Arabidopsis thaliana: one gene and its partner. The protein of the gene in region 2 interacts with the protein of the main gene of each other region in a pairwise test. Each region holds a gene or a part of one and is shown on either strand. Other genes may lie near its edges.

Evidence for each region.
Region 1: the proteins of HB23 (region 2) and NAC020 interact in a two-hybrid assay, tested with the Arabidopsis thaliana proteins (one study listed by BioGRID).

Annotation. Positions count from the first base shown.
Region 1 is NC_003070.9:20,277,349-20,284,078, forward strand, and holds NAC020 (NAC domain containing protein 20), read right to left. Parts: upstream 3,605-6,730; 5' UTR 3,542-3,604; coding exon 3,385-3,541; intron 3,233-3,384; coding exon 2,964-3,232; intron 2,847-2,963; coding exon 2,367-2,846; 3' UTR 2,159-2,366; downstream 1-2,158. Other genes in the region: AT1G54320 (LEM3 (ligand-effect modulator 3) family protein / CDC50 family protein), read right to left, coding at 56-114, 358-445; ICDH (isocitrate dehydrogenase), read left to right, coding at 6,172-6,220, 6,418-6,461, 6,541-6,650.
Region 2 is NC_003076.8:15,908,150-15,914,822, reverse strand, and holds HB23 (homeobox protein 23), read right to left. Parts: upstream 3,474-6,673; 5' UTR 3,281-3,473; coding exon 2,276-3,280; 3' UTR 1,963-2,275; downstream 1-1,962. UniProt on the Arabidopsis thaliana protein: Putative transcription factor. Probably involved in establishing polarity during leaf development through the gibberellic acid (GA) signaling pathway.

The DNA.
Region 1 (6,730 bases), on a different chromosome or scaffold from region 2:
CTTGTACAGAAATCAGATGTCTCAAACATCAATAGAGATTAGAAAGAAATCTAACCCAACCAGGGGTTAGAATTGGCTTGCAAGCTGGAAGCTCCTGCTGTGTGAACTTCGAATCTGCAAAAGATATTTGCCAACAAAATCACACCTTTTAGCCATAGCTTTGACCATGGTTCCCTAACCATCTTTGTAACGACAATTTTGCAAAGAATTTGAGCTAATCCAAAGCTGTTAACAAATTGTTATTGAAAAACTAGCAAGTCCAGAGAGAATTTGATCCAATTCGAATAAGACAGAAGAGTCAACGATAAGCCATAATGAATAATCGGAAGAAGATAGCGAAGGGAAGATGATAAATACACTTGGGTCGCTTTGAATTCTTCCTAGCGGCGGAAGAATCTCCCGATCCGGCTGCCCCCGCGCTGGACGACGCCGTATTGGAACTCATGGCGGAGAAAACGACGATTACTAAGCCAAGCCTTGAGGGGATTATTCCGGAATCTAAGGAGACCGAGATCGGAGGAAAAGGTGAATCGGACAGAGAGAAATCGGGAAGAGAAAGTAAAATGAAGAGGAAGAAGAAGAACAAGGGGAAGACGAAGATTCGTCGTCGTTAACAGAAAGAACCGGTATTATTCCCATATTGACGTCAAAATGAAAGGCCCACTTTGTGGGCTTTATAATGGGCTTTACTCTATTTTGTTGAGTTGAAGCCCAAAATCTCCCATGCATCATAAAATGTTTTTAAGTTCTACAAATTTTTTGATTTGGAACGTTTTTCCTTCAAATATTGGATACAGTAAAACCTCTATAAATTAATAATGTTCGGACTGCAAAATTTTATTAATTTAGAGGGGTTTTAATTTATCGATAATTTAATATTTATTAATTAATAGAAAATTTTTCCTAATTTAGTAACTTTTCAAAAATTTGTATAAGATTTTTTTTCATTATAGAAAATATCTTTCAAGAATCAATTACAAGTAAAAAATAATATCATATTTAGAAAATAACACCAAAAGTTTTTGATATAGTAAAATACTAAAACTATATTTCAAATAAGGATAAATACAAATTTAAGCAAACAAATATTAGAATTATATTTCAAAGAAATTTCTTACATATAATGTATATATATAATTGATACATTTAAATAATTATTAATTTATGATATTGATGAGACCATATATTTATATAGGATTTTCAAAAAAATTATTATCTTATTAATTTATCGATTTGTGTCACTTTTTATACTGATCCCAACTCGGAACCAAAAACATTTCTTAATTTATAGAGATTATTAATTTATCGAGTATTAATTTATAGAGGTTTTACTAGAGTTTATACTTTAGAGGATGGGATTATGATCAGTGTTAATTGATGAATACAAAATTTAAAAAGTTTAGTATGTTTTATTGCAAGTTTATGCATATACGATCATGTTGAATTTCAAACGAACAAATTATTATCTTATTATATGTTTGGATTTGAAACTGCAATATATATATATATATATATATATATATTTTAAAGATTCATTTATAGTAAGATTGTTTTAGGGATAGTATAATAAGAATGATTAAATAATCTTGCATTTGAGAGAGATCAATGTATGACCTAGACAAAAACGATGATTCGTCTTCAAGTGAAAACTATTAGACCACTATCACTTGGTTAAATTAAATTAAAAGTATCATAAACTAGAGATTTCTTCATGATAATGTTGTTTGTATCTTCCAAATCAATCACAAACTATATATAGTATCATAAACTCGAGATGTCTTTAATCATTGTCTTGTAATTCTCATCTTTTTTAATAAAGAATTTATTTTGTTTGTAGTGAAATTTGTCTCGATTTTTCTCTCTTCTTTGTTTTCAGCTTCTTTTCTTGAGAATTTTTTCTTTATTCATTCAGATTTTAAAACTTTTGTTTCATATTCATAACACATATATATAGTTAAATAAGATATTGATCCGCAGTCGGACATATATAATCCGAAAAGTTTTCCAAATTTGCGTTGCCATGACGCCCATGCCAGATTTTAAGTCTACAAGTATGCAAACCAATAAGTAATGTCGATCGATTACACAATTTTTACTTCCGTTTTCCCTCCTATATATGACAAAACCAACCAACTCTAGTGATTAAGTACCATACACACCTAATGATAAAAATTAAAATAAAATAATGCAATTTCTTTTTGTGGTAGAAAAAATAATTCCACAAACCTCCTCACCCTTTTTCACCAGTCAAACTAATTCATAAGCAAAAAACAAGTAAAAAAAAAAATACTATATATGAAGTACCCGAGTATATTTAAATAAGTTGAGAAAAGAAGTACTAGATGATAGTATGAGATATGGATTTATCAAAGGGAAGCGGGGAAAGTGGCGGAAGAAGAGAAGATTTCGTCAAGTGTCCCGTTCATAGAGTCTCTGCATTGAAAGTCTTGTTGGATTGACATAATCTCTGCTTCGTTCATAGAAAGTTGAGGGAAATCTTGGAGTTGAAGAGGAGGATGATATGGAAGCTGATGAGAATAGTTTGAGAAAAGATGATCATGATCGTCCAGAAGAGAAGATGAGAAATGAAGAGCAAATATGGATGAGCTGTTTGCTTCGTCTAAAAGGACCCCTTGAGTTAGCTCTGATGAAGATGTCTCCGCGGATGCTCTTTTCAAGCTCTCGTCTTCAATATAATTACCATCACATTTTCTCCACTTCTTCTCCTTTTCTTCTTCCTCTTCTTTTCCTACACTAGTGCTCTCTTCTTCTGCTTCTTCTTCTTCCCCTTTTCTCTTTGGAATTTGTATGTTCTTCTTAAACACTCGGCACAATGCATACGACTCCTGTTTTAGATCAACATTAATATTAGTCGATATGGTTTATCAAAAAAAAAAAAATTAGATCAGAAATGAATATAGATATATATGTTAATAGAAGTTTGTGCATGGGAAATAATTTACCTTCAAGGAGGAGGAAGGAGCGTGCGTGAGACGATATTCATGCATGACCCAATTAGTACGAAGGCCATGAGGAGCCCTTCCTCTATAATAAACCAGTGTCTTCTTCATTCCCATCTTCATCTTCTTTGATTCTACTGTACGATCTTTCCCCGTGGCCTTCCAGTAACCCGCTCGGGTCGCACGGTTCGTCCTAGAGCCATTTGGATACTTCTTATCCCTTGTGCTGTAAAAGTACCATTCCATGTCGTTTCCCGGCAAAAATGACTTTTCTGTTCCGCGTATTATCCAAATAAATAACTCATAAAACCTCCAATATCATATGTATGAATGCATCATGACCAATATATGTAATCTATAACGTCAGATTGACATAAACAAGCTGAACCATATATAGAGAGAGATATAAAGAGTTGGATCGTACCAGGCAAGTCCCATGGCTCGCATTTATAAAGATCAACTTCTGGGATGATCTCGAGCTCAATGGCTTGGCCGTTGACCTTCCTATCAAGATAGTAAGCCACCAGTTCTTCATCAGTGGGATGAAACCTGAATCCTGGAGGCAAACTCATGGGCGCCATTCAAAGTGTATGCGTTAGAAAACGAGAGAGAAAGAGATGAGAGAGATTAATTAAAGTGATTAGGATGTTCGTACGACATATGAAGGTGACTATATATAATTAAAAAGATGAGACTCTGAAGAAGATATGATATGGGAATGTGTAAAAGTATGCCATGGGATTGGCATCTTCTGAGATTAATATTTTGTCTTACTTTGGGTTGCTTTTTGGTCAGTGTTTGTCATGATACTCATCACACATATTTTCTAAAACCAATATATATATTTTAAATAAAAACCTAACTCTGGCTTTTGAAGATTCTGCAAGTGTGAAAACCCTAGTAGGAGGAGAGACGGAAAAAGCTTTAGCAAGAAGGCCCCATCTCACAAATACTCACATATATGAATGTATATGCTTATAATTCCGGTTAGACCTTAACGTGGGTCATGAATCATTATAGAGGGATTTTTATAACGTTTGCTTTAAACCAAAAATGAAGGCTTTTTATGATTCAACAGTTTAGGGGACCCATCTCTTCTTCTCAAACCAAATCTACCTGGCGACACCTAAACACTCGGCTTTTTCTTTTCTTTTTTTTTCGGTTTGACAGTTTTGTTATATTGTTTTATGTTGTTATGGTCTTATAATAAGAATACTTATAAATTGAATTCATATATATGATTAAAAAATGGGAGAATAAAAAAGCAGGAGGCATCCAAGTCGACTTTGGCTTTAGTGTTGGGAGGCTTCTTTAGTCCCTTTTACATATGGATTAAAGACGTTGTTCGGCTCTTTTACATCATTACTCCCACACAATCTTTGACTCTCTTTCTCTCGGCCCTTCAATTTTACTAACTTCCGGTCAAATCTCTTTTGCCTCGACTCTCGGCCTCGATCCAAAAGATAAATTAAAAAAATAAGGACATCTTCATTCTTCACATGTATGATATATATAACTCATGTCATATATTAGATGTCTCGTTTACATGGTTTTTTTTCGTTTGCTAATATATATAATTCACATGTAGACGAAGAACATTGTAAACGGAATTTAACAGAATGAAGTAATCAAACGTTTTATGTAAGGAAATGATCAAATACTGAGGGAGTCCACAAGTTGCGACATATATAAAACTCCTCCATTCTTATAAAGTATAATATTCAAACTTCAAGTAAGTAACTCTCCCTTTTCCGTGAGAAAGAAATAACAATAACATTTTAGGGAAGCTTTAAGATGTGGTCACCAATAACTTAGGGAGAGAGAGAGAGAGTGACAGATACAAAAAACAAAAGATAGCAACTGAAAAATATTTTGGCGAAAGATGCTTTAACAGTTTAACTTATCAAACGACAACAACAAGACATGCCCCAATTGTTTCACCACTTTGTTTTTCTTGGTCACAAATCGAGTCTAAGTCTATATGAACAAGTAATTAATGTGAGTACTATATATAAAAAAAAATGTGACTATATATATAAATGTTGTATCACAAATGCAAAAGGAATGTGGATTAATTAATTAATAAAGACAACGAGGAAGCTAACATGCAAGCCTAACTAAAGACATGCAACCTTTGATACGATCTAAGGGGAAGCGAATAAAGCTAATTAAGATCTAAGCATCTTATCTTATCAACCCTTTTATATTTCCATTTCACATGTATCAAGTACCTATACTCTTTCTCAAGCTTATAGTATTGATATCTAGAGTATCAAATAAACATTAATTAATTAGACGTAACACAATAGTGACATTATTAAATGAATAGTAAACAAACTTTACGTGTATATATATCCATGACGAAATTGGCAAAGGCGGGACTCTATGGGGGAATCATGATAATACATACATACGATATACATGTTGACATGTATCATGTATCATGATAATACATACATCATCCCTTTTTTGTTGGTTTGTTAATAAAATGATCATACATCATCTTAAACATCAACATCAATCACAATTCTTCTAAAAGAGAAGAAGAGTCTTGTTCAGAAAAAGTAGCATCTGATTCCCTACATGTCGGTTTCCAAAACATATTTTTTTTCCATCTCATATTAGTTTGTGCTAAACAAACTGATCCAAGGAAAAAAGAAAAGCCTTTAAATAATACAAGTTGGAATCCCTGTGTCTCTAGAGATTCTTGCTTTCATGTTTTTTCACGCATCTCAATTATAGCAGAAGAACAATGTCACTGTCCAAAAACATTTGCGTTATTTGCCTTTTGCTTTTCTCCATGCATTAAATCTCATTTCTACCCTTGTTAAAGTGGTCACACTCATTACTCTTTTTAATATACTAATCCTACAGGACCACCTCGTGATTGTTATCTCAAATTTTGATTAATTATTCAATCAATTAGCCAAAGCAGATCTTCTTCAATTTTAAGATTTTGATGATTACTGTTAAAGCTGACTATCACTGCGGGGAATTCAAAGATGATGCTAGTATACAAAAAGAGAAGCATGGTTTCAAATTGCAGAATCAGGCCCATATATAAGTGGGCTTGATTATTTGGGCTTTTGGAAGAGTGTGGCCCAACATAGAGATATAGAGCTGTTATCGTCTGTCTTTCATGGCGGAGCAGAGGTGATCGTTTCACTATTCAATTTCACTCGTCGATCATTACCAACCTCTGCGGGCAAAGATGGAATTCGAGAAGATCAAGGTGATCAATCCCGTTGTTGAAATGGATGGTAAGTGTTCGAACAGTCAATTAGCTCAAATCTATGATTACGATTATGGGTTTCTCGTTACTCTGATTGATTGATTTGCTTATATTGGAGTATATGTGATCGGCTCTGTTCCGGGTTTTTCTTTTCTTCTATATGTTATAGTTTTATGAAATAAATTCAGAAACTTGACTCTTTATTTATTCTCTGTGCACAAGCAGGAGACGAAATGACTCGAGTTATCTGGAAATTCATCAAAGACAAGGTAAAAATCTTAACTTTTTTTTAAATCTTTAATCACAGATTGAATTCTTTTTGTGATTAAAATCTTGAGAATTTTGCAGCTTATTTTCCCTTTCCTGGAGCTGGATATCAAATACTTTGATCTTGGACTGCCTAACCGCGATTTCACTGATGATAAGGTTACTATAGAGACTGCTGAAGCTACTTTAAAGTATGTCGTCTTTACATTTTATACTTAGATATCATATTCTCCATGCTTTCTGCTTCTAGTGTTGAGGTTGTTCTGTGAAT
Region 2 (6,673 bases):
TATACTTATGATTCATTTATTATTTGTTTTCTTGCAGTTCACAATGTAACTCAATAAAATATTACTTCTTATTTCAATAAAACAACTGACTATAGTTATGTACTCTTTTTTTTTTTTTTTTTGGGAAGATAGTAAAGTATATATGTCTAATCTATTTTCGACTGAAAAGGTGATAGACTTATTGTCTTTATATTTTAAAGCTAGAAAATATAAATTACCTCCTAAAAATTGCGGATTTATTTTGAACCAAAAAAATTAAGAAATTACCGATCAATTTTGTACCTACAAAATACTGGAATTACCGATAGACTCATTATATTATACATAATACATTCTAACTTTGAGGTTACATATAATTCTCTATTTAATTTCTTGTTTAGTCTCATATTTTTTATTTTCGGTTCTAAATATATGTATTTTTCTTATAAATTAGAAAGAAAAAAAGTTGAAATTATACTATGGCTAATTTTGTTTTATTTGCGATAATGTGAATTGATGGCTAAATTGATACAAAAATAAATAATACTATTAATTAACAAGTGGTGCACATGGTATATGGCAGTTAGGGCCATAACCTCAGCTTGTGCAAAAGTTTTGTCCCCACCAAGATAATACGGAAAGATATTTGTGACTTGACTAAATGCGTTATATAAATTAAATAAAGAAATAGTAGTAATGAATTGCTTAAATAATTGTAACAAACCCGTATGGGAGATACCCATAATATCCTAATCTCATTCTTTATTGTGAGAGCCGACATATCAGTACTCATCCCTACGTTTCCCCAAATGGAAAGTTATTGTTAAATTATTCATCAACTCAATCATTTGTGTTAGTGCCACGCCTTAAACCCTTATTTAGAAGTTGTATAGATTTTATGGATGCTACGATGTGATATAATAATAGTTATATCAAACTTTAGTATGAATTGTACTAATTCAATCTCTAAGTATAAAAAGGTATATGCTGGTTTGTACTTCTCAAATGAGAATAATCAAAACTAAGCATATATACCAAAAATGGGTTATCGGAATGAATCCATGACAATGACATAGATTAAAGAGGAAATGGTGTTAACAATATTTTTAAAACCAACCCAGTGAATCGGACTACCTTTTGGATCATTGGATCATCGGGTTAATTAGATTAGACTACGGGTCAATTGATTAAAATTTATTTAATAAATTTAATATTAATAGAGATTTTAGAGTTTTTAGAGTTCTTATAAATTTTAAAACAAAAATAATCATTTACATCAAAAAAAAATATAAATATATAATCAAACAATAATAATAAAGTGATGAAATTTTTTAAATCCAACTAAATGTCTAATACCGTAACAAATATAGTAAAAAATCAGCAATGATGGAAATAAACTAATAAAACATCGTGAATTCACACAACTAATATCGGATATCTCACTCACCATTCGATTCATTTTTTAAGGCGGCATTGTGAAGTCTTCATCAAAATCTTAAACATCAAATGGGTTTAAGAACTGAAAAATATCTAAAAATTGATTGAATAAAGTCTAAAATCTCATATTTTATTCCAAAATCAAGAGAATTTTTTAAAACCCACATCCGGCCAGTTCAACTGGTTCATCGGGTCACGGGTTAATGATGAGTTTTTGTGGGTTTTTTCGGTTTTGAACTTGTTGGATTTTAATACTAAACCCAAACCGGAAAAGTGTTCGGGTCACGGTTCAACCGGTCGGACCGGACGGTCCGGGTCGGACGTGAAAACACTGGGTGTTAACAACAATGCTACTAATATACTAATGATGGCTAATCATTTGATATAGAATAAAAAAATAAAATAAAATTAAGAGGATCTAAGAAAGAAAAAAAGTACACCTACTACATCTAGTTTGGTTGCAAATAAAATTAAGAAGAGTACTTTAAAAGATAAGAAACCAAATGAATATTTATAGTAACTAATCATGTTTCACTCGTTTATTAATCTTTTTGTTTCTTCATCCGAAACAAGATTACCACATCAAAAGTGTACCATTTATTGGAGTACTTAGTCACATTTCAGGGTTCATTAATAGAAATGTTTACAACAAATGATATAATTCGAACATTGTTATGGTATTATTCCTCATCGAGCGAGACACCGACGTGGTAAAGAACATTAAATCAAAACTAATAATAATGCAAAAACAAACAAAGCTAAAGATCTTAATTAATATTTAATAGAAAGTTATTAACGATGATAATACGAATAAGCTTACTCTAAGCTTCTTATTAACCTGACACTCTCATCTTTAACTTCACGACGACGATGATCCGTTAACGTTACCACCGTTAGCTCCGCCGCTATCACTATCAAATCCTCCGCCACCACCGCCGCTACTAACACTCTGGTGAAGCTCTCCTCCTCCTCCGACACCGTGGTGTCCATTGTTATGGTTATTAATCTCGCCGGCGAGAATCGGAGTGTGGTTTCCTCCGCCGTTATCGATTTGCCGGATCTCGTTTCCGGCGATATCACGGCGGTTAAAGGTGTTTTTGTTGTTATGCATCCAAACTTTGAGAACACTTTTATCAACTCCGATCTGCCGGCAAAAATCACGAACATCGTCTTCGTCACGTTTTTGCATCTTCCAACCAACACGTTCGGCGAATTCATGCATCTTCTCTTTCTGAAACTGGCTGAATTTTGTTCGGAATCTTTTACGAGATCCGTGAAGAGTATGTTGGTGGTGGTGGTGGTGGTTGTTTCCGGCGGAGAAGTTAAGATCGGAGAAAGAAGCTAAGTTGTTGTTGTTGTTATTAGTACCGGAGAGAGATAAGAGCATGTAAGAGGAAGAGATTGGTGGAGGAGAAGCTGAGTTAGGACTACGTGGTGGTGGAGGAGGTGGTGGTGGTGGTGGATGATGACGGTGGTGAGGTTGATACTCTACGGCGGTGGAAGGAGGAGGAGGGATTTGGGAAGAGTCGTTGTTGTTATCTGGATCACGGCGGTGGAAATTACGGTGGCAGCCACAAGCAGCACATTTGAGAGAAGTTGGATCGGAGGAGATTGACGACGGAGACGGCATGAATTCGCCGCAACCGTCGAGAGCGTGACCACCTAAAGCCGCCGCGTGGTTTTTGAGACATTCTTTGTAAGTAAAGAGGAGAGGATGGTGGTGGTGGTGGTGGCGTTTGATGATGCCGTTGCTAAAGGAAATGGGTTTCGCCGGTTGGATCCGGGTCGGAGTTTCGGATTCGGGTTCGGGTGATTTAGGAGTTGGTGTTGTTGTTGTTGTTATTGTAGGAGTCATATCCATCATAGCTTAAAACATTAATATAACCAATAATTTGAAGAAAAAAAAGACTTAGGGTTTTTGGGTTAAGAGCTTTGAAAATATGGTATGAGTTTCAGAGAATGTGAATAGAAAAATGAAGAAGAAGAAGAAATAAAGATAAGTAAAAAGGTTCTAACTTCTTAAGCTGTTGGAGATTTTTTAATATTACATATTTTCCACTTGATTTTTTATTGGTAATATTCGTTTAGAGGAGGAAAAGAAGAAAATGATATGATGACTATGACGACTGTTGCTGAAGCAAATAAAGAAATAATATTTTGAAAAAGGACAATTGTATTAAACTAAATTTATGATTTTAAATGAAATAATAAAGAGACTTGGATTTAGGGATATTTTAATCAAGGGAACCAAGGTTTGATGATTTTTAACCATGGTTAGGTAGATGGAGTTTGTGGGATCGACAAAGAGAGTGCGTGTTAAATTTTGCGGTGAAAAAGCGTAATAAATGTGGCTACTAGTGTCTTAAACATAAAGGCACAAGTCAAAACTGAAAAAGAAAAAATAAGTCTTATGGTAATAATGGGTTACATTTGTTCTAAGATCAGCAATGTTGTGAAAGATACTCCTTCGACTACAACAAAAACGTTAAGGTCAAACCTTTCAAATGAAGGAATGAGAAAGATCACTTTCTTGTAAAAGTTGGGGGTGAATTTTTAGGTTTCCACTATGGTTAAGTTTATATGGGTGATATTCGACGGAAAATGTCAATTTTGCTAGATTTTGATGAACAAGTTGAGAGCAATGATCGAAATTCCGTCCTTCATATACTAGAGATTATTAGAGGATCCAAAACTAGAGATTATTAGAGGATCCAAAACTATTATGAGAAATCCATTAGCCAATGTAACTAGGGTGATAGCTACTAGAGATTCATATAAATTTGTTTTTAAATATCAATGTATTGTAAGGTAATCTTAAGAGTTGTCTCAAAACAAATTTTTTTCTTTTTCTTTATAAAAGGAATTTTGTGCAAAAATAACTTTCAAAGACGTCAATTTTTACAAATTTATCATCTATCTCTAAAAAAATGCAAAATAATTGTATGAAATCAAAAATAATATGCAATATAGCTTCATTTTTTTGTTATAGTTAAATTTTTAAAATTTTGATAAATAATATATCAAATTAAAATCTTCGAGACGAGGAGTCCAACTCTACTTTCACAATTTTAAAAAGCAAATGTATGTGATCATAGAAACATTTACAATATATGTATAGGGCTATATTGCGTCTTATTTTGTATTTTATAGGATTATTATGTATTTTGTAGAGATTAATGGTAAAGTTGAAAAAATTAGCGACTTAATTATGATTTTTTTTTGCACAAACCCCTTATAAAAATATCAATTTTGAATCATTGTATTCTTGTTGACAAGTTAAAGTCTTTTTTCTTTTCTATTAATTGCATCATAATAAAGTTTTTATAAGCGATTTCATTTCAATCTTTCTATTATTTCTACCTAGCTTAATAAGTCCATTTGAGCTTGAATCCTACTAGCTTTGAATTCTCCCACAGAGATGTTCCTTGGCACAACTATCACGGCCCGTTCGTAAAGAATCATCCACGGACAATGTTTTGCTTAAATAATTGCGGCTCCAAAGAATTCTTTTGGGGAGAGTGCTATTCTGTTCTTAATTAATGCAATCCCAAAACATAATGGGTAGAAGGACTTCATGGTCATGTAAAGGAGATTACATGCAAACGATGAAGATATCTTCGACTTTCTTTTTGGTTAGACTTTAGAGGTAGAGAAGCTAATCTTATAGCAGATTTAGTGGTAATGATTGATGACTTAATGGGCTAATGGAATAATACAATTGGCATTAATTTTTATGGGCCGGGTTATTGCACACATGCAACTATAGTGATTTCAGAACAGCCCATCCGAGGACTTGAGTATAAAATAGACAAATTCAAGAAGGAAGTTTGAAGACCCCAAATTACCCCTTTCTAACGTCTCAAAATGATTGGGTTCGAAGCATAAATCATAGTTACACTTGTTTGTAATCATAGGCATATGTAATCACTAATCATCACTTTATTTGATTTAGCAAGTAACTAAGTATAAACTTATTGGTATAAATTATTTTAATGTTAGACAAATGTATTTCCAAATTAGTTTAAAACTATGTTTATTCTATATTTTTAATTCCTTCATTTTTATTTTACAGTGAGAAAGAGAGAGAGGTAAGAAGTAGCTCTATGTGGGCTGCATAAGCATTCTGTGTGTGTTAGTTGTATAAGTAGAACTAAGCACATGTGTTCCGTAGTGAAACACCAGTTATATGTTATAATAAGCTGAATTATCTCCAACTTGTTTATGGTTAGTTGGATAGTATTTAGCAGCACATGCACTTTCTCTTTCCATAGAGGTTTCCAATGTCACTATTGTATCATGATTGATGCAGGAGGTATACACCAAATTGCTTCACTCTATAGTAGCAACATCAAGTAGGTAGCTTATTAGGGTCTTTTAACAAGTACATGAACATAAATGTGAAATGTTGACAGATAAGGACAACGTTGAAGAAGTCAGGAACACTGTGTACCGGTAACTAGTCTTGATCATGCGGTTTACAATGCAGGCTAAGTTCTGATTCCTCCACAGTGCGCTTTGTCTTTGTCTTTTCTCATCATAGGTATGTAACATTCTCTTTTTTCAACACTATTTCAGTGATTCTCTCTTCTCTGTGCGATCATCACATGTTCTTTAAACGGAACAACATAAGCATTACTATTTCAGTAAACATGAAAACAAGTGCTGTTTTTTGGACACTAATAATGTTTGCAAGCTTCACAATTAAATTATATTCAGACTGCTATTTATTGTTTGTCTTGTGATGACTCCTTCACTCTCCTCTTGGCCTTTATCTCCTGATTCTATTAGTAGTGAAGATTATGTGGTTCTTTCCGGTTTAAGGATATGAGAGCTCAATAAAACTTTGAGAGTCTCCTCTGTCCTTTTAGTGTTCAGAAGTTTTGGTAAAAGGTGAAGACTTTTAGAATTGATGAAAAGGAAAAATGTAGAGTCTCTTCCCACTGGTGCTAACTTCAAATATCTGAATTGATCTTAGTGGATGTTCAAAGTTGAAGAGTTTTCCAGATATCTCAAGCAACATCTCATGTCTCTGTCTAAACCAAACAGGGATCGAGGAAGTTCCTTTGTGGATTGAGAACTTTGTTAGGCTCACATACCTAACTATGGTGGAGTGTAAAAAGTTGAAATATGTGTCCCTAAATATGGAGTGATAATATGGACTCTGAAGCTTTAAGTTAGGACACTGTTCTTCTATTATCCTTAATCCTTTTTGTGCTTTTCTTAAAATAAGTGATTTGGTTTGATATTTTCACGAAGC